Macaca fascicularis: one gene and its partners. The protein of the gene in region 1 interacts with the protein of each later gene in a pairwise test. Links are inferred from orthologs where the notes say so. Each region holds a gene or a part of one and is shown in the gene's direction. Other genes may lie near its edges.

Evidence for each region.
Region 2: the proteins of RBPMS (region 1) and AMMECR1 interact in binary tests that used the Homo sapiens proteins (3 or more experiments, as listed by UniProt). The two-hybrid records come from large-scale screens. The link is inferred for Macaca fascicularis from reciprocal best matches to the Homo sapiens genes RBPMS and AMMECR1.
Region 3: the proteins of RBPMS (region 1) and TLE5 interact in binary tests that used the Homo sapiens proteins (3 or more experiments, as listed by UniProt). The two-hybrid records come from large-scale screens. The link is inferred for Macaca fascicularis from reciprocal best matches to the Homo sapiens genes RBPMS and TLE5.
Region 4: the proteins of RBPMS (region 1) and OTX1 interact in binary tests that used the Homo sapiens proteins (3 or more experiments, as listed by UniProt). The two-hybrid records come from large-scale screens. The link is inferred for Macaca fascicularis from reciprocal best matches to the Homo sapiens genes RBPMS and OTX1.

Annotation. Positions count from the first base shown.
Region 1 is NC_088382.1:33,702,823-33,708,414, forward strand, and holds part of RBPMS (RNA-binding protein with multiple splicing), read left to right. Parts: intron 1-1,973; coding exon 1,974-2,124; intron 2,125-5,592.
Region 2 is NC_088395.1:116,899,375-116,905,638, reverse strand, and holds the start of AMMECR1 (nuclear protein AMMECR1), read left to right. Parts: upstream 1-2,086; 5' UTR 2,087-2,100; coding exon 2,101-2,573; intron 2,574-6,264.
Region 3 is NC_088393.1:3,761,682-3,767,737, reverse strand, and holds the start of TLE5 (TLE family member 5), read left to right. Parts: upstream 1-1,878; 5' UTR 1,879-1,891; coding exon 1,892-2,119; intron 2,120-2,258; exon of another isoform or gene 2,259-2,621; coding exon of another isoform or gene 2,622-2,648; intron 2,649-2,928; exon of another isoform or gene 2,929-3,200; intron 3,201-3,545; coding exon 3,546-3,643; intron 3,644-6,056. UniProt on the Homo sapiens protein: Transcriptional corepressor. Acts as a dominant repressor towards other family members. Inhibits NF-kappa-B-regulated gene expression. May be required for the initiation and maintenance of the differentiated state.
Region 4 is NC_088387.1:58,899,740-58,906,108, reverse strand, and holds the start of OTX1 (homeobox protein OTX1), read left to right. Parts: upstream 1-2,191; 5' UTR 2,192-2,259; intron 2,260-2,613; 5' UTR 2,614-2,682; intron 2,683-4,258; 5' UTR 4,259-4,367; coding exon 4,368-4,464; intron 4,465-5,469; coding exon 5,470-5,621; intron 5,622-6,369. UniProt on the Homo sapiens protein: Probably plays a role in the development of the brain and the sense organs. Can bind to the BCD target sequence (BTS): 5'-TCTAATCCC-3'.

The DNA of each region.
Region 1 (5,592 bases):
GAACCACCAGAGAAAGAACCGAGGCATAGAATTCACATGTACAGCCTCATTTTCTGAGGCCAGATGCTCTAGACTACGACCAGGTCCCAGGATACTCTTCATGTTATCCCCAGTGGCCTGGGCCACAGGACTTATCTTAATGTGAGCTCAGGTTTAGGAAAGTTGCTTCTTCACAGGAAGGTTGGTCAGGTTTAGTGCCAGGGAGGACGTCCTGAAGTTGATGGCAAGTTGCTACTATGTGTGTCTGATGGAGTGTGATGCGATTGAGCAAGTCCTTCCACAGCATACCTGTACTTGAAACCCAGGGACTGTGCTTGTCTCCCAGCAGAGACCACAGTTCTTACCTCCATTCTTGGAAATATTTATTCTGTTGTAGTATTAGCTTTGTTAGGGTTGAAGTTGGTCCACCTCAGTGAGGTCCTTTGTGACCTCACCTCAGCCTGCTTCACAATGCAGCTTTGCTTTTTGTTTTTGTTTTTCCTTATGTACTTTTTGGGCAAAATAGTATTGAGGTTTCCCAAATTTAAAAAACAACAAAACAACACAACACCAGTTAAAGAAAATGTTCTTATGTTTCCCAGAATGGGCACTATCTGTTCACTTTTCGGTGTTGATTAGGTATGCACAAGGGTATCCTCCACATCCCTTTTGCTACTGCCCTCAATTGGTTTCTTCTCAGAATGAGTGAGTCATGCTCGGGAAGAAATTCCACCCACTCCAAGACTTCTGGGTCAGGGCTCTGTGGCTTTTGTTAGGCCTCCCTAAGGACCTCTCTTTCCTTCCCCTTCACCCCTTATTTCCTGTTAATGCCATTACTATCCAGCCACAGGCTCTTCCTTGTATCCTTGAAGCTGAGCCTGTGAAGTTTGAAGTTCTGAGTTGTTCATCCTGGTCTCTAAAGTAAGAGAGTCTTATTTTTGTGGATATTTCTTTTTCTTTCTTTTTTTTTGAGACAGAGTCTAGCTCTGTCACCCAGGCTAGCGTGCAATGGCGCGATCTTGGTTTACTGCAACCTCTGCCTCACGGGCTCAAGCCATTCTGTCTCAGCATTCCAAGTAACTGGGATTACAGGCACATGCCGCCACGCCCAGCTAATTTTTTTTTTATATTTTAGTAGAGACAGGGTTTCACCATGTTGCCCAGGCTGGTGTTGAACTCCCGAACTAAGGCAATCCACTCGCCTTGGCCTCCCAAAGTGCTAGGATGACGGGAATGAGCTAGGGCATGAGCCACAGCACCCTGCCTGCTCTTATTTTTTTTCAAGCTCATTAGGAAGAACGGTGGCGAGGGGACGGGGGATGCTTTGGAGCCCTCAGGCCCATGTGTATACATTCAGAACACTAAATGGCAACTGTGGTCTTTGGAGACTCATTTTCAGGACTCCAGTCCCTTTCCAGACCCCACCATGAAAACATGGGAACTGAGTGGGTCCCATGGGTGCATATTTAAAATGCACTCTCTTGGGATAGCTTTTTGACATGTAGGGTCCAGAATTCATGGTATTGGATGCTTAATAATGAAGACATTCTTGAATGGTGGAAGGATTCCAAATAGACTTGTCTTGCCCTAACTTGTCTTTCATAGTGTCTGTGATTTATTTTACTGAATATAATCTGTTTTAGGTAAACTGCAGGAATAGGGTCAAAGGTAACTGAAATTACTATACATTAAAGTGTATAACTGTGCTAGGAATTTCCTGGTTCAAATTTTAAACTGGAAAGTTTTTGTCTAAAAAGAAAAGGAATAGTTGAAAATCTGTGTAACTACATTTTTTAAGTAAATTAAATACCACTGACTTTCAGGACACTTTGTGTTGTCATTTTTCCTGTAACCTGTGTAAGTAGTAAGAATGACAGTGGTTGCTGACCTTTTTTCCTGATAGACCAGGGTTTACTGGTGTGTTTATTTTGTCACCATTCCGGTTTGACTCTAAGGAAATGAAAACATCTTCCATTTGTTCTCTGTTTCCAAAGGGCATCCGCTTCGATCCTGAAATTCCGCAAACACTACGACTAGAGTTTGCTAAGGCAAACACGAAGATGGCCAAGAACAAACTCGTAGGGACTCCAAACCCCAGTACTCCTCTGCCCAACACTGTACCTCAGTTCATTGCCAGAGAGCCATGTAAGTCGATCTACTTTTCATTTAAAAATAATAATAACTAAGAACCGTTCGTGTGCTGCATGTGAGGTTACACCACGGGACATGGAGCTGGCTGAGTCTTATTTTCCATTTCTGTGAAGAGGTTGCCTAGGCGTTCTTGGTGTCAGAATTCCAAATACAGCAATCTTGTTTGCAATAGGCTGTCCCAAAAGATGGTTCAGCTTGAACAGAATCATAACTTCAGAATTTCATTTGATGTACTACAGATTTCCTTAATGTGACATTGACCATTGTGAGTATGCCCCTAGTTGCCTTGGGTATAAACCCTTTATTTCTCCATGCTCAGACATGAGAGCTGGTTCTCAGCATTCACTTTAATCCATTTGTTGAAGGACATCAGCTCGGTGGCTTTGGAAAAATAGGATATTAAAAGTGAAAGAAGCAGATCTTAGGAAGTTGGTTCTATTCAGTTTAGCCATAACTCTAGGGGGAAAAGTAAACACACACAAAGAATTTATATATTGGAACAGTCAGTCTAGCAAACTAATACCAGCAAAACTTTAAGGAAATTTGGGGCTTCCTGTTTCAACTTAATTGGATAAGGACACTGGCTGATTGCTCAAGACATCTTCTACCCCACATTAATAAGCTTATTTCATTATTTCTGCCTTTCATTGAATAACTTTAAAAGATTGAATTTTCTTTCTCAAGCTCAGTCAGTGGCAGAAATGGGGCATGAGACAGGCCTTAACTTTTCCTTTCATTACAGAGCCATACGTGATTTAATATGGCAGGGCATTCAAGGAAACCCAAATGACTTGGATTCCAAGTTATTTGGAATATTTCTGTCCTGTCATTTTTGGTCTGCTTTCGAAACCACACGATTGTGATCTTCTTCCTTTGATAATACATTTTTAACTCTTCTTATTGAAATTGAAGGACACATGGATTCCTTGCTCCCCCCATGTCACATGCATGTCAGATTTAATCAGGTTATCTTTGGAAGTCACAGCCATTCTGTAGCTCAGTCACTCTTGCTTGCTACTCATCAGTAGAAACTAATAGATAAGTCTTCCAGAATGTTCTAAAATAAATGTTTCTATGAATCCAGAAAGTCATAATAGATGAAAAAATTATTTTGTTCTTTCACCTTCTTTGTCCCAGGGAAACTAGAAAACTTTGCTTACTTATTTGGGAAGGAAATCTAAACAAAAGTTACATCTTACAGTGTACTTGTAATACAGCAGAATATAGGAACATCCTTTACATAATTCTTCATCCTTAGAGTATCTAGCTTAATACTTTGTATATTGTATGTATTTAATATTTATTATAGTGAGTGGATAAATTGATACTGAAATTGGGCTACTTGTAGAACTACAGATGGATTTCTATGCCTCTTCTCTCTGAAATTTCTTCTCTCTTGATCAAGGCATCAAAAAAGAGTATTTTTAGGATGCCTGAATTTGTAAAAATAACCTAAAGTAATTCTTTGCCTTTTTAGTGAATTTGCCAACCTCAGATCTCAGAGTTCTTTGAAAAGATTAATTCAGACAGGAAACGTAATGCTGGTGATACTTAACTTTACATCCTCAATTCTTTGCTGAATGCTCTTTTTAACAGGCCCACAAAACTTTTTGTGAATTTCCTACAACAGCCCTGTGACATAGGTAGCCAGGAAGGTTGTAGCCAGGTCACAACATGCTATACAAAAGCAACAAATAGGAACAAACTGAACATTCACAAGTCCCTGAAGTTACAGGACAGCATAGTAACCGAGCTTAGAACTCTTTTCTGGCAAGCTCTACTCATCTCCCTTCCCAGCATACAGAACAGTACAAAAATGGCCAGATAGTTTCCATGACAGGGTAAAAACTTGCTCAGCTGTTGACAGCAACACAAATTTGAAGTTTAAATAAATAAATAAATAAATAAATAAATAAATAAATAAATCCAAGCAGCCAGCAGTGTATTCTTGAGGAAAATAAAAGTCAGCATGATTTATCTTAATATAGCTCATTTTTACGACACAACGTCTTGATAAGAGCAAGTCCACTGTGGCTCAGGTCAACTTTATTATCCATCGCCATTCCCTCTGGGAACTGGGAACTTGCCCGTCAGATAAACTTGCTTACCTGGAAGCACACCGCAAGACTAAGAACACTGTGTTGGGTTTACACGGACAAGCCCAGTTGCATTGTACTCAGAATTGGGTACTCAAGGTGGTCGGTTTAACTAATCAGGTGTAGACTATAATGGAATTGCAGAATTTGGGGATTGGAAAGGCCCTGAAGGCTAATCTTTGTTGTAGGCCATAGAGGTTTTTTGTAAATGTTTCTTTTTGTTAATTTTTTATATGGTAGTGGCTGAAAAGCACTCGTTGCCATCGCTAAAAGAAGAATGTTCTGTGGTTTGATTATACAACAAACATGTACTTGAACTCTGAATTCTCCATATATCTGAACTTAATGAACTTAAACGAGCACCCAGTGTGCTGGACTCTGGAGAAGAAGGAAATTGGTTGCTGCCTTTAAAGAGCTGTCATTCTGAGGAGTTGATGATAGTCAAAGTTGTCAGAAAAACTTGGTCTCATATGAAGGACATAAAACAGATTCTGCAGCTTGGTTGAGATTGCCCCCAATCAGACTCCATATTTGCTGAGCACCTACTGCATTTGTGCCAGGGATGAAGAGTGAGAAAACCAGGTGTTGCAACTTAACCTGGGTAGATGGTGGCCTGCTGTGGAGAACTTTGGCTTCAGGCCAGAAGATGTCAGTGAGAATCCCGTCAATAATTTTGCCAATTATTGACAAGCTTTGTGACCTTTAAGAAAAAAATTTTTTTTAACTTAGTAGTGCTCCTATTCTCTAAGCTATAAAATAAGAATAATACTTTCTGATTGTTAGGAGAGGTAAATAAAACAATATCCTAGGATTGAGCTGAGGATTAAATAGGTATAGTGTATTTAGAGTACTAGGCAAATGTAAAGTACAATCATAATTTGTTAATAAAAAGGATTGGGTTGCCTTTCTTTCCTAATAGTTACAGCAGGTATTGATCTGAGTTGTCATCACAGTTTGAGTATAGCCAATTGTCTTTGCAAGTTAGGAGAAAGGATGAGTGAAATTGTCATACAATTTCAAGAAAGTAGTATGTCTACCTGCCTAATTTTTATTAATAGAATTGATCATTAATTTGAGCTTTTCTTTCTCTTCCTTGTATGTAATAAAGTTGGAAAAGAACTGTGAGAAAGCGGGAATTAAGAGATGATGAAGAGCCAGGCGTGGTGGCTCACGCCTGTAATCCCAGCACTTTGGGAGGCTGAGACAGGCGGATCACAAGGTCGGGAGATCGAGACCATCCTGGCTAATGTGGTGAAACCCCATCTCTGCTAAAAATACAAAAATTAGCCAGGCATGGCGATGGGCGCCTGCTAAAAATACAAAAATTAGCCGGGCATGGCGACGGACACCTGTAGTCCCAGCTACT
Region 2 (6,264 bases), on another chromosome or scaffold:
ATTTTTTTTTTTGCTCCACTAGTAGTTGACAAAGAATTGTTATTTGTTTCAAACATAAGGTTAATTCTAACAGTGATGAAGTTTGAGAGGATGAAATTATATATCACTGACCAATTAAACTATCTCTTTTGTCTTTTGGCTGCACCTAACCATTCCAGACTTTCATTTGTCTATCTCACAAAATCTTTTTGGAAGGAGATTTTTTCATCTTTCCTTGGTAACATATTTCAGTGTCTCTCAATCTTTCCATAAAAGCTAAGTTATTATTTCTGTTTAACCTCAGTTGCACCTGCTGGAGTGTAATGTCACTATCTTTTGTCCATCAGTAGCCTTATTATCATATATTGTTAGTGAGAGGCAATATAGTATAATGGCATGGTTTTTGGAATCAGACATGCCGGCATTCCAATCCTAGCTCTGTTACTTTCTAGGTGTGTGATCTTGGGCAAATTACTTCTGAGGTTTAATAGCCTCATCTGTTAATGAGTAACCTCAGAGCATTGTTGTGAAGATAAAATGAGATAATATCTTATTCTGAAGGATTATGGGGTAGGACGAGGTATGGTACTGGGCACCTAAAAAACATTCAGTACATACTATAATAGCTATTTATCTGATTATGTGCATGTATCTGACTTAATTCATAAACTCTTTGAGAGTGGGAGGCATACTTCCTGCGCACGCCCTGGATTTCAACAGAAGTATAGTGTTGTGCACATAGTATGGTGCAGAGGCTCAATATTACTGAATGAATAAATTGTTTTGTTTTTATTCCCTGAGTGGAATGAACAGCCCCCAGCTATCTGCAAGATCCCACGCATGTAGATAAGAGGTGACAAAAATCAATCTGCAGTTTTAAAATATGCAGATACCTGACTTTATCTAGATGTTCTAGCATGGTGTAGATACAATGCAAATAACTTACGCTTTCTATCAGGTTCATTTCTACAAATTTTAACATTTATTGTCATTATTTTTATTATTAAGCTACACTTAGGCACCTAGAAAGGGACTGACTCATATGCCTCCTCATCCATCCAAGCATTTAATTGAGAAATTTTTAAAGTGAATATTAAGAGCTAATTATATACTTAAACAAAATCTTTCAATTTGTGACTAAGTACATTACCTTCCCTATTTATCTCTAAGATCTGAGCACTACAGATAATATTCCTAATTGCTTTTTACCCAAGCCAAGAAATAAAAACCAAAACCAGAAAAGTCCACCACTGCAAGTCCCAAAGCACAATTAATATCTTTGAACCAGTGAAGTATTAGTTAGGACTTTATTTTTGGCTTTTTAATGTTTACAAACGGCTAGGAGGGTAAGTTGGGGGAACAAGTACAAGATACATCGATTCAATCGGACTTGAATATTTCTCCATAAGGAAAGGAAAGAGTACCCTGGTGTGTGCTTAGGCTGGAATTAAAAAGAGCAGCGTGGCCATTTCCCCGACTGCTTTGTACATACTTAACAGGGGCGGTCTCAGGTATGGAGCTTCAGGCACCTGCTCGCTCACACTCCAACAGTTCAGAAACCCGTGTATTTGAGGCCGGGTGGCTCAGGTTCCACGTAACTGGGCTTAAGTGTCATTAATACTACTTGCAGCGGGGGTCACTGAGCTGTGCTTTGGGACCTGGATGCTTACTTCGGACTTTCTCCTTTCTTCCCCCCTGCCCCCACTAGTTTCCCTTTCCCTCCTTCCTTCCCGGGCGTGCCCACCTCTTCCCTTAGCTCCCACTTTCCACTATCTGACTCTTGTTTCCTTCACCTTCCTTTCTAATCGGCTTCCTGGCTTCCATCCTCTGCCGGCCGCAGAGATTGAGATTCGGGCTGGGGCTGGGGCTGCGGCTCAGAAGAGGCACGAGTCCGGCGGGACAGGCGCGAGGCGCCCAGCCGCGAAAGCGAGGAGCGCGCACCGAGGCGGGGGCGCGCGCGGGGCAGCCGCGTGGCTAGGCAGACGGGGCCGGGAACGGCGCGCGCGCGCCCCGCCAGCCTCTGGCGCGCCCCCGGCGGCCTGGGCCGCAGCGTGCTCGCCCCCGCCGCCAGCTCGCCTCACTTATGGGTCGGAAACGCTGCGTGGGGGAGACTGTTCCAAGATGGCGGCGGGTTGCTGCGGGGTGAAGAAGCAGAAACTGTCCAGTTCGCCCCCCTCTGGCTCGGGTGGCGGTGGTGGCGCCTCCTCCTCCTCCCACTGCAGCGGAGAGAGCCAGTGCCGAGCTGGGGAGCTGGGACTAGGAGGCGCCGGTACGCGGCTCAACGGGCTGGGAGGTCTAACCGGAGGAGGTAGCGGCAGCGGCTGTACCCTCTCTCCCCCCCAGGGCTGCGGCGGCGGCGGCGGGGGGATCGCCCTGTCGCCACCTCCGAGCTGCGGAGTGGGGACCCTACTTTCTACCCCGGCCGCCGCCACCTCTTCCTCACCCTCCTCATCGTCCGCCGCCTCGTCCTCATCGCCGGGCTCCCGGAAGATGGTGGTGTCAGCAGAGATGTGCTGCTTTTGCTTCGATGTGCTCTACTGTCACCTGTACGGATACCAGCAGCCCCGGACCCCCCGATTCACCAACGAGCCCTAGTGAGTACCGTGCCCTCCGCCGCCCTCTCCCTTGCGCTCGGGATGGGGCTCAGAGTTGAGGCAAAGTGCGAGTCCGCCTCCCGGCCGGCGGATGCCCCTGCCCTCTCGCTGCCCGGGTCCCCGGAGCCACTCAACTGAACTAAGGGCACCCTGCGCTTTTTGCCCTCCGAGGCAGGCACCCCACACTTGGAGCAGGGTGCTGCTGCAAGGGATGGCCCCGTGGCTCCTAGAGGTGTTAGCTTTCTCTTTGCGATGACTTCGAGGAGTTTTGACCCCTTTACTTGTCTTCTTCACCACCCCTACCACCCCTCACCCTGCCCCGGTTTTGGAGATCTGGGTTACTCAAGGTGTTGACCTCTCCTCACTTTGGTTTCCGTTACCCCAAGTGAAAGCCCCGCCAGTATTCCCGCCCCGCGTACCTTGCACATGGAGAACTACTATCCCATTGCAGGGCGAAAAATAGCAAGTATCCAACTTCTGTTAGTGATGGAACTTAGCTCTGGAGCTTGTGAGGTTACCCATCTTTTCCTCTGGGTTTCCTTGTGCCCTGGGAAGGGGGGAGGTTTCTTAAAACACATTTTCCCTTACTACTTATTTTTATCCAAATACACCCATTAAAATGTGTTTCTCGTGAAGCGAGCGCACTGCCGGCTTCCTCACATTTGAAGAGTGAGACCTTTTTTTTTTTTTTTTTTTTTTTTCATTCCACTGTCTGGATAATAGCTCATTCAAAGAGAACTGTCCCCACAGAGCCACTGTCAGTTTGTACATTAAGCGTGCATTCGCTTTTGTGTCGATTTCACTTTTTAAGAAATCCATGTTATACTCGATGATTTGAGAACAGTTAAATAGTAAATGTGTAGGAATTGTTATGGTTTCCTTTGGTTTTGTACCTTAAATTATCTTACCCTTCAAGTGTGTGGTTGAAAATTTTTAAATAGCACTGTTACAGCTAAAAGCCAGGTTAATTCTAATCCCTGTCCATTTGCATGTGTGGGAGATGGGGCATATGGTTTTTTTTTTTAATGTGTAAACTGAATGTAAACTGACTTTTTGAGTTAAATGCTAGACAGAATGTAAAGACCAAGAGAGGGCAGAATGAGAAAAAGTGCAATTGCTTTTATTTGAGTACTTAGCATCAACAAGAAAAATAATACAGGAAAAATTTCAGTGAAACTCGTACTGAAAGGCATCACCCCCTTTTCCAGCTAAAAGTGCCGCTTGTCCCCCATATCATAAATACCTTAATTGATGTTCTTTTAAAACTGCTTCATTTTGTGAGATTAGAGGATTGGACTACTATTGTATAAGTATAAACACTTCTGCCTAGACTAAAATATTAATATGTAAAGTGGAAATTACAATAAAGTGTCCTGGAAATTGTGCATTTGTACTGTTTGTTTTATTTGGCTTTTATTCTTTAAATGTCTTAATTTTGTATGACTCTTCTGTGGTCTGTGCATTTTCTTTTAGACTTGGTTAATCTTTGGGCATTGGTTCATGAGAAGTGCATGAAAGAGCATCCAGGAGAACACTTTGTCAAACAAATATCTTTATAAATTTCATAGTGTTAATTCTAGAAGCTTAAATCCTAAGTCCACACCTTTATTTAGCCAATTAATTTTTTTGGTTAAGAAGTAAAATTGATTTTGAAAAGACTGCCATGTAAAAAAATCTATGAAATATTTATTAGCTTGAGTCACTTATTTGTGACTTTTCTGCCTTCTCTTGGATGTCTTTGATATATTAAAGCTAGTCCTGGGATGATACTTAGGTTGGCTCTGCAAAGTCATGGGACTGCAAAAATTCACTCCTGTTTAGTTCTTGAGCTGTTACATGAGTTTGGCAAAGGCTGCTTTAGTATTCACGCTCCATTGCTCCAAAGCATATGAGAACACACTTTCAGGAGGTGCTATTTTCACACATTTTAAAAGTGAGTTTGGGTTAACTCAATGACTATAGCAAGAATTTTAAAAGGAAAGTGAGCTTGACCAGTTCATACAGAAAATGCTTTTGAAAATTTCATTTTAACAGTAGCCACTTTGCACACATATTTAGATATTATTCTCTTCAAACACCCCAGCCCCTGGATTTCTTTTTCATGGAATTAAGCAGATGATAGGACACACTTTTGACCGCTGTGGATATGTTGAAACGGTGGTGGAAGAAGAATAACTATTATCATTTAGCAGACCTTGAATGTGTCAAGTATTCTATAAAATAACTAATGTAGAGTAGACACTGAAGATGACCAAGTGGAGAATGAAAGTTCACTTAAGTGGAAAATGGACTGTCTTATTTCCATATATCTTCAACTCATTTTTGAGGTGTACTGTGGAAAATTCAGGAAAGCTTCCTCATTATGGGAGGGAAATAACTAAGCATTTCAACAGTGCCTTAGTAAGTACCACACATTTGTCTTTCTGTTTTACATATTTAACAGCATTGTGTACTTATTAGTATTGCTTTATCCTAAGTGCCATAAGACATAAACAGACATACTGGGATTTTTTTTTTTCTCCTAGTTATTATCATGTCATGAGCAGTGTGTTTGCCCACCAGATGTTGTGCTTTTGACAATTTTAACTTCTCATACATAAATGCACACTCTTTTCATCCCTTCCCAGGACTTTTCTCTCAGAATGTCTGTAACTGGTGAAATCCTCATTTTATGGGTTTAGAAGCTCTAGATCCATCAGTTAGTTATCCTTCCACTCAGTATTGAGGGGATGTCAACATATGAACAGGCTGTCTGGATACAAATTCTTCACTGTTGCTCCCATTTTTTGATTACCTACCCAATTGCAGAAAGCATTGTACAGGCAAGTTTGTGCACAGAAATCTGGTTAAAGACATGAGGAAAACTTAACTTTACTGCATTTTGATATTCAAAATCAGCAGTCTTGGATTTATGTCAGGGAGCCCAGAAAGCTATTTTATAGGAACCTGTTTGCTACTATAAAGGGATCCACTGTGCCAGGTGTTGAGCTAGTTAGACTCCAGAGCAGTCATTCTTAACTTTGGCTGCACATTGGAATCACTGGGAAGTTATTAAAAATATTGATGCCTGAGCCCCAACTCCAGAGATTCTGACTTAATTGGTCTTGGATGGGGCCTGGGAATCAGGATTAGTAAAAGCTCACCAGGTGAGTTTAATGTGCAGCCAAGGTGGCGAACCACTGGTTATATTCTGAATCTTTCTCTTGAGATTTGGATAATTGGGGCTAGGGTAGTGCCTTGGAATCTGTATTTTATGAGCACCCTAAATTTCAGTAAACAACCGATTTGAGAAACTCTTGCATTGTGGTCTGCAGAAGACATCACCCGGGAAATCATTACAAATGTAAGCTCTCAGGCCCCGCCTCAGACCTGCTGAATTAGAGTCTGCATTTTAACAAGCTTCTCAGGTGATTCTTATGCACATTCAAGTTTGAGAAGGACTAGTTCTCAAACTTTGTAGTACATCATAATCTATGGTGCTTGTTAAAACACAAATTGTTGGGCCCCATTCCCAGAGTTTCTGATTCAGTTGGTGTGGGGTGGGGCTGTGAATTTGCATTTCTAACAAGTTCCCTGGTGATGCTGATGCTACAGTTCCAGGGCCACACGTTAAGAACCTAGGGAGAGAGAAGTGAGGACCTGAATAAGTACTTGAACGACTGTAATGGAATGGCAATTTTCAAGGCCAGTT
Region 3 (6,056 bases), on another chromosome or scaffold:
GGATCACTTGAACCCAGGAGTGGGAGGCTACAGAGAGCTGATTGCACCACTGCACTCCAACCTGTGCAACAGAAGACTGTGTCTAAAAAAATTTTTTAGGCCAGGAGTGGTGGCTCATGCCTGTAGTTCCAGCTGCTCAGGAGGCTGAGGCAGGAGAATGGCGTGAACCCGGGAGGCGGAGCTTGTAATGAGTCCAGGTGGAGCCACTGGACTCCAGCCTGGGCCACAAAGTGAGACGCTGTCTCAAAAAAAAAAAAAAATTTAATAAAAATATTAAAACACTGCTTTAAAGATTATTAATCTTGAACACTGAGGGCTCTCACCCTTACTTGCCAAGGTAAGGAGGCTGGGGTTCCGGGTCCATTTTACAGATGGGAACACCCAAGGCCCAAATCAGTTGCATTCATCCAAGGGAGCAGGCTGCTTAGTGGATGACGATGATGAAAAGACTGTGTGCTCAGCACCTGCCAAAGGAGGACCTTAAAGGAACAGCCTATTTCAATGGCCTCTTTGGGGCCCGTTCTCTGAATGGCAGAAAGAGGGATACTTTCATAACCGCCACCAGGTCCCATTCCTCCTCTTCCCACGGCTCTCCAGGATTCCCACCTCACTCAGAGCAAAAGCACAAGTCTAAAGCCAGGTGCGGTGGCTCACACTTGTAATCCCTGCACTCTGGGAGGTAGAGGCGGGAGGATCACCCAACGTCAGGATTTCAAGATCAGCCTGGCCAATATAGTGAAACCCATCTCTACTAAACATACAAAAATTAGCCAGGCATGGTGGTACGCACCTGTAATCCCAGCTACACGAGAGGTTGAGGCAGGAGAATCACTTGAACCCGGGAGGCGGAGGTTGCAGTGAGGCAAGATCACGTCACTGCATTCCAGCCTGGGCAACAGAGTGAGACTCCATCTCAAAAACAAACAGCTGGGCAAGGTGGCTCACGCCTGTAATCCCAGCACTTTGGGAGGCCGAGGCAGGTGGATCACCTGAGGTCGGGAGTTCAAGACCAGCCTGACCGACATGGAGAACTCTCGTCTCTACTAAAAATACAAAATTAGCCGGGCGTGGTAGCACGTGCCTGTAATCCCAGCTACTCGGGAGGCTGAGGCAGGAGAATCACTTGAACACGGGAGGCAGAGGATGTAGCGAGCTGGGATCGTGCCATTGCATTCCAGCCTGGGCAACAAGAGTGAAACTCCGTCTCAAAAGCAAACAAAAAACAAACCACCAGGTCCCATCCCTCCTCCTCCCACAGCCTTCCAGGGCTCCCACTTCACTCACCCAAAAACCCAAGTCCTCCCCATGGCCCACAAGTCCTTGCTGGACTGGCCTGCTTCACCAGCTACAGAGTTAGCAGGGCCCAGTGCAAAAGAAAACTGAAAGGCCCCTTGTTCAAAAATGATTAGGAATCTCAAAATGCAGCACTAAATATTAACCCAAGCACAAGCCCTGCTGAGGAGTGGGGGGGCCTGGGCAAATGCATGAAGCCCCAGGCCCTGCCTCCCTCCGGCCTTCCTGACCTCCGCCCTGGCACCCTGATGCCAGGCACAGTCCTGCCCCAGGGCCTTTACACCTGCTGGTCCTGCCTCTGAGTACCTCTGTACCCCATCCCCCTGTTCTCTCTCCTTCTTTGGGTCGTTTTAGGGGCGGAGGAAGCTCTCTCTGATCCTCCCTGCCACCTGTTTAACTTTGCATCTTCCTACCCTGCCATCCTCCCGGCTGGTTTTTCTGCAGAACCGTCCCCACCATCTGACCTGCTGGGAATTCAGCTTGTTAATTTGTCTCTGTCTGTCTCCAGGCACCACCACCAGAGCAGGGACCCCCCACCCCCGCCCCCACCACAGGGCCCTGGAGCAGCAGGCCCTGGCACACAGTAGGCGTTCTATAAATGTGTCGCAAGAATGGCTTCCCTGAGAAAGGCGGCATTACCGCTGCCTTTCTGCAGAAAAGGAAACTGAGGCTCAGCGAGAACCACCGCCCAGCCAGAGCCAAGGTCACAGAGCACGTCCGTGGCACGCGTCCAGGTCGTGCCACGGCAGGGCTGGCGGCTTCGACGCGGGCAGCCGGGTCCCTTTTCTTTGACAGATGGGGAAACCGAGGCCCGGCCTGCTGCCGGGTTGGGGGGGGTGGCGGGGGCCGCGGCCCGGGGCGGGGGCGGGCGGGGCCCAAGGTCACCGCGGCGGGCGGGCCCTGGGGAGGCGGGCCGGGGTGGGGATCCGCAGGCCTCCCCGGGCGCGCGCCTCCCCCCCCTCGGCGGCGCGCACGGGGCACGGGCGGCGGCGGCAGGTGGAGCCGGAGCCTCTGCATCAGCCGAGCCGCGGCCACTGCCGGCGTCGCCGCCATTAGACAATAGCGGTGGGGCCGGGGAGCGGGGAGGCGGGCGGCGGGGAGGGGCGGGGAGGGGCGCCGGGCGCGCAGGAAGCGGGGCCCGGGGCGCGCCGGGGCCGGGCGCGCGGGGAGGGGGCGCAGGAAGCGGGCGAGGCCCGGCGCGGGAGGCGGCGGCGGCCCCGGGAGCTGCCGATCGGCGCCGGGACAAAGGCGCGGCCGCCCGGCGCCCCCAGCAGCCCGAGCCGGGGCGCACAGCCGGGGCGCAGCCCGCGCCCCCTGCCGCGACTGACATGATGTTTCCACAAAGCAGGCATTCGGTAAGCGGGGTCCGTCCGGCAGGCGCCCCCACCCCGGATCCCGGCCCTGCGCTCCCCACCCCCGGCTCCCGGCCCCGCGCCCCCCACCCCCAGGCCCGGTGCCTCCGGCCCGGCACCCCCCCCAACTCCCCGGCCCTGTCTTCCCTCTCCAGCTCCAAGCCCGGCGCGACCCCCCTCCTGCCGCCGGCCCCCGGACACCCCCCAGTTCCCGATCCACCCCAGCTTCCGGGCCCCGAGCCCCCCCGTCCCAGCTCCCGGCTTGGCGCCCCCCCCCCTCGCCGGGACAGGCAGGGCCTCGGACGGCCTTGGCCTCGGGCCTGGGGCGCTCCGGGAGCCCCGCCAGGCACCTCTAGCGCGGGGATCCTTTGGGGGCCTGTGGTGGGGGGGCGATCCGAGGCGCACCCCTCCCGGAAGAGCGCGTCCCCGAGGAAGGGCGCTGGGAATCTGGGGTGGGCCCCCCGGGAAGATTTCGGGCGCCGAGAGACCCCTCCCCCAAGAGGGCTTTGCTGGGAGGACTCGCTGCCCCCCAACTTGGGGAGGGGGCTCCCTAGGGTGCGTATCCACCCCCCTCGGATGTGCACTCCCTCCCGGCGCTTTGGAGGGGCGGTAGAGGGCGCACCCTGCCCCCCATCTAGGGCAGGCCTTAAAACGCACCCCCACTGCTTGGAGGTGGCGGGGGTCGGGGCGGCTCCGGGCGCACCCACCCTCTCGGCTTCCCCCGGGAGAGGCGGGGGGCAGGAAGCGCGGGTGGGGGCCGCGCCAGGGGCCGTAAACACGGGCCCAGGAAGTGGGGCAGGAGGGGGGGCGCCGCAGCTGCGCGGCCGCTCCCTCCCGGCTGGCCCTCGAGGGGGGTCCAGCCCAAGCCAGGGCCTGACCCGGGCCGCCCCTTCCCCACAGGGCTCTTCGCACCTACCCCAGCAACTCAAATTCACCACCTCGGACTCCTGCGACCGCATCAAAGACGAATTTCAGCTACTGCAAGCTCAGTATCACAGGTGAGCTGGGGGGCCGAGGGTCCCTGCGTCCCGAGAAGGTGAGCCCCCCACCCCATTTCTTCTGCGCAGATGGCAAGGCTGAGGCCTGGAGGGGAGATTGGGAAAATAATGTATGCTAGACTCTGACCTAATACTTGACAAATAGGGAATTCATTTTTTTTAAACAGCTGCATTCTGTGGAGGACAAAACTGAGGCACAAAATAAGTTAAATAATTTGCCCAAAGACTCAGCTGTGTGGCTTCAGAGCCCCTCCCTCCTACCCAATCCCCCCAAGTCCCCCCTTGGATAAAAGACAATTGGAGTTAGGGCACAGACTCGCCGTCCCCCCAACCCCCAAAACAAACATTTTGCAGCCTGGTCATCTCTCTTTGCCCAGTTTTGGAGAAAGGGTTCCCAGCATCAGTCAGATTCTCCCAGGTGCTTCTTTCAGAAATCTCCTGGCGTTTCTGAAGAGCTTGCCATGCTGTGGTATCTAAGGGGAAGGAACTATTTAGTCCTTTTACACTTAAAGAAATTTAATCCCAGGCCGGGTGCCACCGGTGGCTCACGCCTGTAACCCCAGCACTTTGGGAGGCTGAGGCGGGTGGATCACTTGAGGTCAGGAGTTCGAGACCAGCCTGGCCAACATGGCGAAACCCCGTCTCTACTAAAAATACAAAATTAGCCGGGTGTGGTGGCAGACGCCTGTAATCCCAGCTACTTGGGTGGCTGAGGCAGGAAACTTGCTTGAACCCGGGAGGCGGAGGTTGCAGTGAGCAGAAATCGAACCACCACACTCCAGCCTGGGTAACAGAGAGAGACTCGGTGTCCGAAAAAAAACAAAAAAAAAAAAAAAGAAGAAGAAACTTAAGCCCAGAGAGGTTATTTCCTCGGGGATGTCCGTAGCGTTGAGGAAGTGGCAAGGCTGAGGTTTGCACCAGGTCTCTCTCCTGGTTTAAGGTTTAAGGATACAGATTTTCACCTGCCCTACTCTGGAGGGGCACGCCGGGCCTGGGAATCTGGAGGAAGTCAGGCTACGCTCAAACCCCCGTTTGGCCTTGGGGCCCTCTCCAAACTGAAGTGTGCCCACCCCAGAAATGTTCCTGGAAGGATCCTGGATTCCCTCCAAGTAGAAAGGGGAATCTCAATTTTGTTGTTGCTATTGCAAATATCCAACCTTTTTGGGTGCTCCCTGTGTGCTAAAGACCATACATGCCTCCTCAAGCTTCATCTTTCTTGTTGTCCGACTGTCGTACCCATTCTCAAGATGGGCAAACTGAGACACTGACGGTCGAAGGCGCTAGAGTCGGCTTTCCACGCAGGCCCCAGAGCTTTTGTTCGGGTCCCTCGATGTGAAGGGTTAGAGACCGCCTGGTGAGCCCTGGGGCTGACCTGATTCCACAGGGAAGGGATCAGATGGCGGTCACAGTGCTGTGTGACCTCTGCTAAGCCGGAAGCCCTCTCTGAGCTTTGGGGTCTCCATCCGCTGGGCCTGCGCTTCCTGCTACCCAACGAGGGTCCCTGCCATACAAGGCACGCACCAGATGTTCGAGGTATAACAGCCACTGGGTGGCCGGATCACCCTATTTTTCAAGAAAGACCAGAAATCCAGGGTTTGAAGTGAAACTGTTTTTGTTGTTTTTGTTGTTGTTTTGTTTTGAGACGGAGTCTTGCTCTGTCACCAGGCTGGAGTGCAGTGGCGCGATCTCGGCACACTGCAACTTCCACCTCCTGGGTTCAAGCGAATCTCCTGTTTCAGCCTCCCAAGTAGCTGGGATTACAGGCGTGCACCACCACACCTGGCTAATTTTTGTATTTGCAGTGGAGATGGGCTTTTTTTTTTTTTTTGAGACGGAGTCTCGCTCTGTCTCCCAGGCTGGAGTGCAGTGGCGCGATCTCGGCTCACTGCAAGCTCCGCCTCCCGGGTTCACGCCATTCTCCTGCCTCAGCCTCCCGAGTAGCTGGGACTACAGGCGCCCACAACCGCGCCCGGCTAATTTTTTGTATTTTTAGTAGAGACGGGGTTTCACCGTGGTCTCAATCTCCTGACCTTGTGATCCGCCCGCCTCGGCCTCCCAAAGTGCTGGGATTACAGGCGTGAGCCACCGCGCCCGGCCTAGATGGGCTTTCTTTATGTTGGCCAGGCTGGTCTCGAACTCCTGACCTCAAGTGAACCACCTGCCTCGGCCTCCCAAAGTGTTAGGATTACAGGCGTGAGCCACTGCACCCTGCCCCAATTCTTTTTTTTTTTTTTTTTTAATGGTAGCAACAAATGCACGTTTTAAAAGAAACCTAGAGAAAAGTTGGTGGCGGCCAAAGCATCCTCAACCCGGCACACTTGTCTCTGGTGGAGCAAAATGCCAAGCTCTTGGGGTATCCTAAGATCCACGTGCATTTATAGGATGCTTACTGTATGCCAGGTACTGTTGTAGA
Region 4 (6,369 bases), on another chromosome or scaffold:
GGACTGGCCCGGACTGGGGCAGCGCCGGGCTATGGACGCAGACGCCGACGATGCGCACCCCGGGACGTCCGCATGTTCTTTTCCCCAAAACTAGTGCGCTCTAGCCTGCGCCTTTCCTCGGAACCTAAGGCGAGGGTATATTTCGTTGCTTTCTTTAAACCTCAGCACGATCACAGTGGCTCCGAGCCGCGGGTGGCTGACCGCGGGCCTCGTGGGCTACTCCTGGTAGGGGCCTGCGCGAGCCTAAGGTGTGTGCCCGCCTGGGTTAGCGCTGCGCTCTGCGCTGTTTCTTTTCCTCTTAAAGCTTCTTTCTCACTCACTCTCTCCCTCCTTCTCTCTCTAATTTTTTCCCATTTCTCTCGTTCTTTATTCAGCTTTCTCTCCCTTTTGTGAATGGGCCGCGGTGTCTTTGTTCTGGAGAGAAGCGCCCGTGTCGCTGACTTTTGTGAACCAGAGAAGGATCTTGTAAAACCTCCTTTTCTCCTTCGTACGCCCCAACTCCCACCCCTCCTCCCCTGCCCCTTTGATTAGATGTTCCCTCATCGTCCAAAAAAAAAAAAAAAAAAAATGTAATTTCGTTGGTCTGGCGGCCACTTTCTTTGAACATTAGCTCGCTTTCAGCTCCAACTTCAATTAGAAGGAGTTGATTTTGAGAGATCAACAAAAGAACCGACCAAAGCCTTATTAAAGGTCCTAAGAAGATCTCCCGGGTCCTTTGAGAAGCAGTTAAGGAAACAGTGTGCCCTCCATCATATTCTGTTACCGTATTTTATTCGGACTCCAAAGGAAAGTGTCGCTTGGGGGAGGGGGAAGCACTTTGATGAGCGGCGGCCGCGGCCCCTTTTCACTCAGCGGGCTCCCCCTTCCTTCTCCTCCTCCTCACCCAGCGCCCTGTCTGCTCTCCGCGCCCGACCCCGCAGCCTGGGCAGCACGGGTGCTCCCCACTGCGATGCGCCTGGAGGCTCCTTGACTCGCCCTCACACTTACTCCTGTGCAAACTTTTTACCCCGCCTGTCGGGGTGGGGGAGTGGGGAGATTAGAAACAAGGGGTAGAAATTCCTCGAAAGGGAATAAAGTGCCTAATTTTCAGAAGGAGGTGCCATTTAAAAGATTCTCCTAGCTCAGAGTTGGAACGAAAACTCTTTTTTGCACTTTTAAAAGTCCACCCAGGCAGACGTGTTTGGGAAGTTTGTTCCACTGGGAAATGGGCTTCGCCCGTACGAACAATCCGGGGAAATCGCCTCAAGGAGGCTCCTTACGCAGCATGTGGAAAAAAGTTGAGGGCAGGGGTCTGTGGCCACATTTTCCATCAAAAAGTCCCTGTTAGAGGCAGACTAGGAAAGAGAGAGAAAGAATGAAAAAGAAACTTTCCTATCAAAATGTTTGAATTAAGAAGTAGGGTGTACATGTGAGGGCAAGAGGACGCTGGGCTCCAACGTTTCAGAAGAAGCGCTTAAGGCTTGCAAACACCCTTGGTGGGGACCGGGAACCCCGGGAGATGCCGATGAGCAGGTAAGTGGCTGTGCCCTCCCAGTGGGTGCTCTTCCCAGGCGCGAGAGTCCCGAGGCGCCGAGGAGAGATCTGCACGCCCGGAGCTGCTCCCGCGCTCTGCAAAGTAGCCTGCGCCGGCACGAGCCGCCCGCGGCGTCGGTCTCAGGTGGCGGTGCAGAGGAAGAAAACGCTGGGGCCCGCGGCGCCAGGAGAGGGGCCGAGGCCCGGGCTCCTCCAGCCCGCCGCCCCCGGGTCCTGGCGCCCACACCCGGGCGGCTGAGCCCGGTGGCGCGCAGGAGAGCGAAGGAACCGGTTCTCCAGCACCTCTCCTCGTCTCTGCCACTCCCTCCGGAGCGCCGAGAGCGCGAGAGAAGGGCGGGGGCGCCCAGGGAAGGCCTGGAGACCCGCGGCCCCCTCCGCGGCCAGGACTCGGGCTCTCCGCTCGCCTTCCTCGCCTAGCTCTGAGCCGCTTTTGCCAGCCGAGTCCCGGAGTTAGCGCGCGACCGGGGCGGGGCGGGCGGGAGGGGAGGGCGGGGTGTGGGGGGCGGGGGAGGGCGGGGGCGCGCGGAGGTAACCCCCGGCTCGCGCTGCCATTGCCCGGCTCCCTGTCACTCAGCCCGCGCGGGGCCCCCGATTGGCGGCCTAGCCCCGTTACGCACTCGCCTCGCGTTCACATACCCGGGGAGGGCAGTAGAAAGGTGATCAATCTTCATCAGGCTACATTTCCAATCACCTAAACAACCGAGCAAGACAAGCCACTCCGACAAGGTAAATCGCTTGATTTATTTAGTTTGCAAAGTGACTCTGCAGGACTTCCCAGTCCCCACTGCCTCCACGTTGCACCGGGAGTGCCGCGGTAACGCCGAGCCACCTCCCAACTCTGCCCTCGAATTCCCCCCCTTGCGGCCCCTCGGCGCGATTCCGGGCGAGGCAATGTCCTGCCTGAGAACGTGTGGGGCTTAGCAAACAAAGTGTCTGTGCAATAAAGTGAAACCCAGAGGGACACGCACAAAGCCACTGAAAAAAAAAGATAGAGGTGGGAGGAAGGAAGTTGGGAAAAGAAAGAAACCCGGGGTCCTAGACCAGCCGCCGGGGTAATTCCTGTGCCGCTCTGTTTTGCAGGTTGGCTGCCCGGCGGGTCTCTGTGAGAGATCCAGGTAGATGGTGAACGTCCCCGGCAGCTGAGGGCAGGTAAGGAGAAAGCCGCGGGACCATCCCGGACTCCGGGAGCGCGTTGGTTACCCTTACCTCCCCCTCCTCAAATGGATCCCCACTTCCCCGGTCACCAGCAGGTGGGCGGGGCTGGGGGAGCGGCCTAGCTCCCCTCTTGGTGAGCCGAGGACCCCGGGGCGCTGTCGCGGCCCGCCGCTCCCTCCCCCGCCTCCTCCGAAGTAACCAAGCTGAAGTGCTAAGTTTGGAGAAAGTCTTTGAAAACTCACGCTGCAGCTTCGCAAAGCCGTCGCAGCTTTGAGTCCCATTTTTCTTCGGCCCTAGAGCCCTGGCTGCTTCTCTTCTCGTCCCCTTCCTACAAGCTGGACTCCCTCAGCCCAGGTCTTGGATCCCAGAAGACCGGGGTGGGAACGGGGCAGGGGGGAGCTTCTTTAGCTCTAACTTCTCTCCCTGAACGTCCTAGCCCGAGTCCCTGGCCTGCTTCACAGCGATCCCGCTAAGCGGGGTGTAGCAATGGCCCCCCAGAGCCCCAGGCCCAGTTTCCAGCGCCCCTCCCTGACCCCTGAGAGTGCCGCCCCGGGTTCCCGGCAGCGGCGGGGGCGAGGCTTCCACCTCCCAGCTCGGGTCTGCGTGGGCTATGCCGCTGAGGCCTACTTCTCTGTTCTCGACCGTGTCCTGGGGCCGCGGGTTCAGCTACAAGGATGACAGCACGGGACTTGCTGCCCTCCGGCTTTGCAAATCCCCGAGACCCTTTGAGGTGCTAGGTCAGTCACCCTTCACCCCCTGCTGGGACCCTGTGGTCCGCAGCACAGACTGGACAGAGAAGGCCGGGTGCGCGCTGGCAACGAAGGACGCTGGCCGCAGCTGAGACGCTCCCGACCTCAGGCCGCGTCTTGGGGTCGCCCCCCTCTACAGTGGCCTCTTCGGCGTCCCCTGGCCCTCTGCGAGGCCTGGGCCGGTTACTGCGGTTGAGGTGTGGTGGGATTTCGCGTCAGCGATCTTTCAGTGGCTGGGCACAGAGAGGTCAGCTGGAATGGTGATTGCGGGCTCTGGGGCAGGGGCGCAGCCCTGGAGACCTTTGAAGGAACCAAGTGTCCTAAGTGGACAAGAGGTTGAGGTGCGGTTAGCCCTCCACATTGCCTCACCTTGGCCCTTTGTAGTCTCTACCTTTTCAAAAACACGTGAAACAAAATGAAACAACCCCTCATGCTCCGGGAGGCCTGCCGTCCGGGCACCAAGTGAACGTTTGCTTGTGCAACATGAAGCTGGCTTCTGCCGGATTCAGAATTTTGCCTGGACTTGGGAGCTTGCACACTCCGCGGTTCTTGCTCTGACCTCCCCAGCCTGGCCTGGCTTTGACTTCTCCTTACTCCTATGGACTCCCTACCAGTGTCTTTGGCTCATTCCAACGCTGGAGCCAGACGACCCAGAAAACTTTACTTTTCAAAGCAACTGTGGTTTCTGGGCTAAGGCCTTGTGGATTCCAGTTGACCACCCTGCGCAGTTCTGTAACCTGCCTTCCCTGTCTATCCCGGGGCAAGACTTGGCAGCCAAGTGGCTCCGATTGATGGTTTCCGTGTGTCTCGTGTCTTCATAGGCCAGGCCCCCAGACGCATCAGACCCTGAAGGACTGCGGTGGGAGCCCTGCACCGCTTCTGGCCCCAGGTCCCCTGGATCCGTCGGGGCGCCTCCACCCAGCTGTTAGCATGATGTCTTACCTCAAACAACCCCCATACGGCATGAACGGGCTGGGCCTGGCTGGGCCCGCCATGGACCTCCTGCACCCATCCGTGGGCTATCCGGGTGAGCACCAGCCCTCCCGACCCTGCTTCAGCCTCTCCAATGTTGGGGCCCCCCAGACTGTTGGGTTTGAGTGCAAGCTTTGTTGCCGAGCAGGCCCAGGGAGTCAGCTATTGCAATACAGGGCCCACTGCCTGTTTACAATACAGGGCCCACTGCTGGCGCACGGGGCAGAGTCGTGGGCATGTGAGGTGGCCAGGGCTGAGAAAACGCGCAATGTGCGCCTTCCTGGCCGGGTCACCGGCAACCTTTCTCCTGTTGTGGTCCCACCACCAGCGCAGAGCTCATTTACCTGCGGATTCGCTACCCAGGGGCGGCTAGTGTTTTTCCTTTTCCCCCAACATGGAATGAGTAATCTGGACACTCGTTAGGCCCTGACAGAAAGAGCCAAACTTTCCTTATGCGAAGCGGCAGGCTGGACTGAAGGAGTATTCTTCCTTCCTAATTAAATTGTCCTCTAAATTGATGTCCTGCATCCGTTTTTGCACTGCTGTAGAGGACGACCTGAGCCAAACCCGGGGTTCTTTAGCTCCGGCTCCTTTACCCCATTTATTTTCTCCGAAAGTGTTTTTCAGGTCGTGTTTCTGCCTACCTCTTCCCCACTCCCTGTCCCCTAGCCAGAGAGAGAGAGAGAGAGAGAGAGAGAGAGAGAGATTGTGTGTGTGTGTGTGTGTGTGTGTGTGTGTGTGCGCGCGCGCGCGCGCGCGCAGGGGAGGGGGAATGTGGAAGAAGGGAGATTGTAGACTTCTCTTACTTTTTTTTAACCTCTGAGAGGCATAGAGAGGGGCAGCCCTTGAATCTTGGAGACACTGGCTTCTAGTCGCACATCTGCACTTTCTCCCACCTGTGGCCTCTCAGGCTCGGCCGCCCGAGGGAGTGTCTTTTATTCCCAGTTCGGCTTTCTCTTGCGAAGGCCGAGCTCTGGGCCTGCCAGGGGCCTGCCCGAGTGCTCTATCGCTGGTCCGCGTGGCCACCAATGACCCGCGGCGCCCCCGCGTGTCCCCGCAGCCACTCCACGGAAGCAGCGGCGGGAGCGCACCACCTTCACGCGTTCACAGCTGGACGTGCTCGAGGCGCTCTTCGCCAAGACTCGCTACCCTGACATCTTCATGCGGGAGGAGGTGGCGCTCAAGATCAACCTGCCGGAGTCCAGAGTCCAGGTGCGCACTCCCCGGGCTCCAGGGTCTGGGTAGGGGAGCTGAGACTGCTCGGGGAAGGTCTGGGAAGGCTCTTGAGGAGTTCTTGAAGAGACCGTCCTCTGGGGATGGGCTTACAGACTGGGCAGCCCCTCTCGGACTCCCCCTAGCGCTGGACCCCAGCCAGGAAAGGGGGCAAAAGTTAAAGGAAATGGCTTAGAGCCCTGAATTCCGCCCTTAGCCCTAGAGCGCCTTTCGTATCGGTATCGAAAGTACTTTTCAGAATTGCGGGAGGACTAGGGAGGCTCCCGAATGTAAAGCGCCCTGCAGGCCTGACACTTGCCCCTGCTTCTTTGCCTGCCTCAGGACTTGGCAGTTTCCCTCAGAGGCCTGAATTCTGCCTCTGCCCTTGTCTTCCACCCCGGGAATCCTAGAAATGGAAGAGCGGAGATTGGCCGGAGCCTGGTGCTCTGCCTGTGTCTCATTAGACGCTTCCTCTGCTTACAGAGGATGCCAAGTGCAAAATCCTGCTGCCGGCTTTCTTATTTCTGTTTTTGAGATGAAAGGGTTCCGATGATAATGTTCGGATTCTAACTCAGAACTCTCCTCAAGAGCCATTTGTTTCGCCTCCTTTACTGGAAGGCTTGAGAAAGGGGACCAGGAATGCAGTGCCATGTGCTGGGGCTTTCCCAGAAGAGTAACCATTCCATGTGGTTCCCCACCTGGAGCCAAAAGTCCAACGAAATCTCACCCAGGCTTCCTTCCCGAGTCC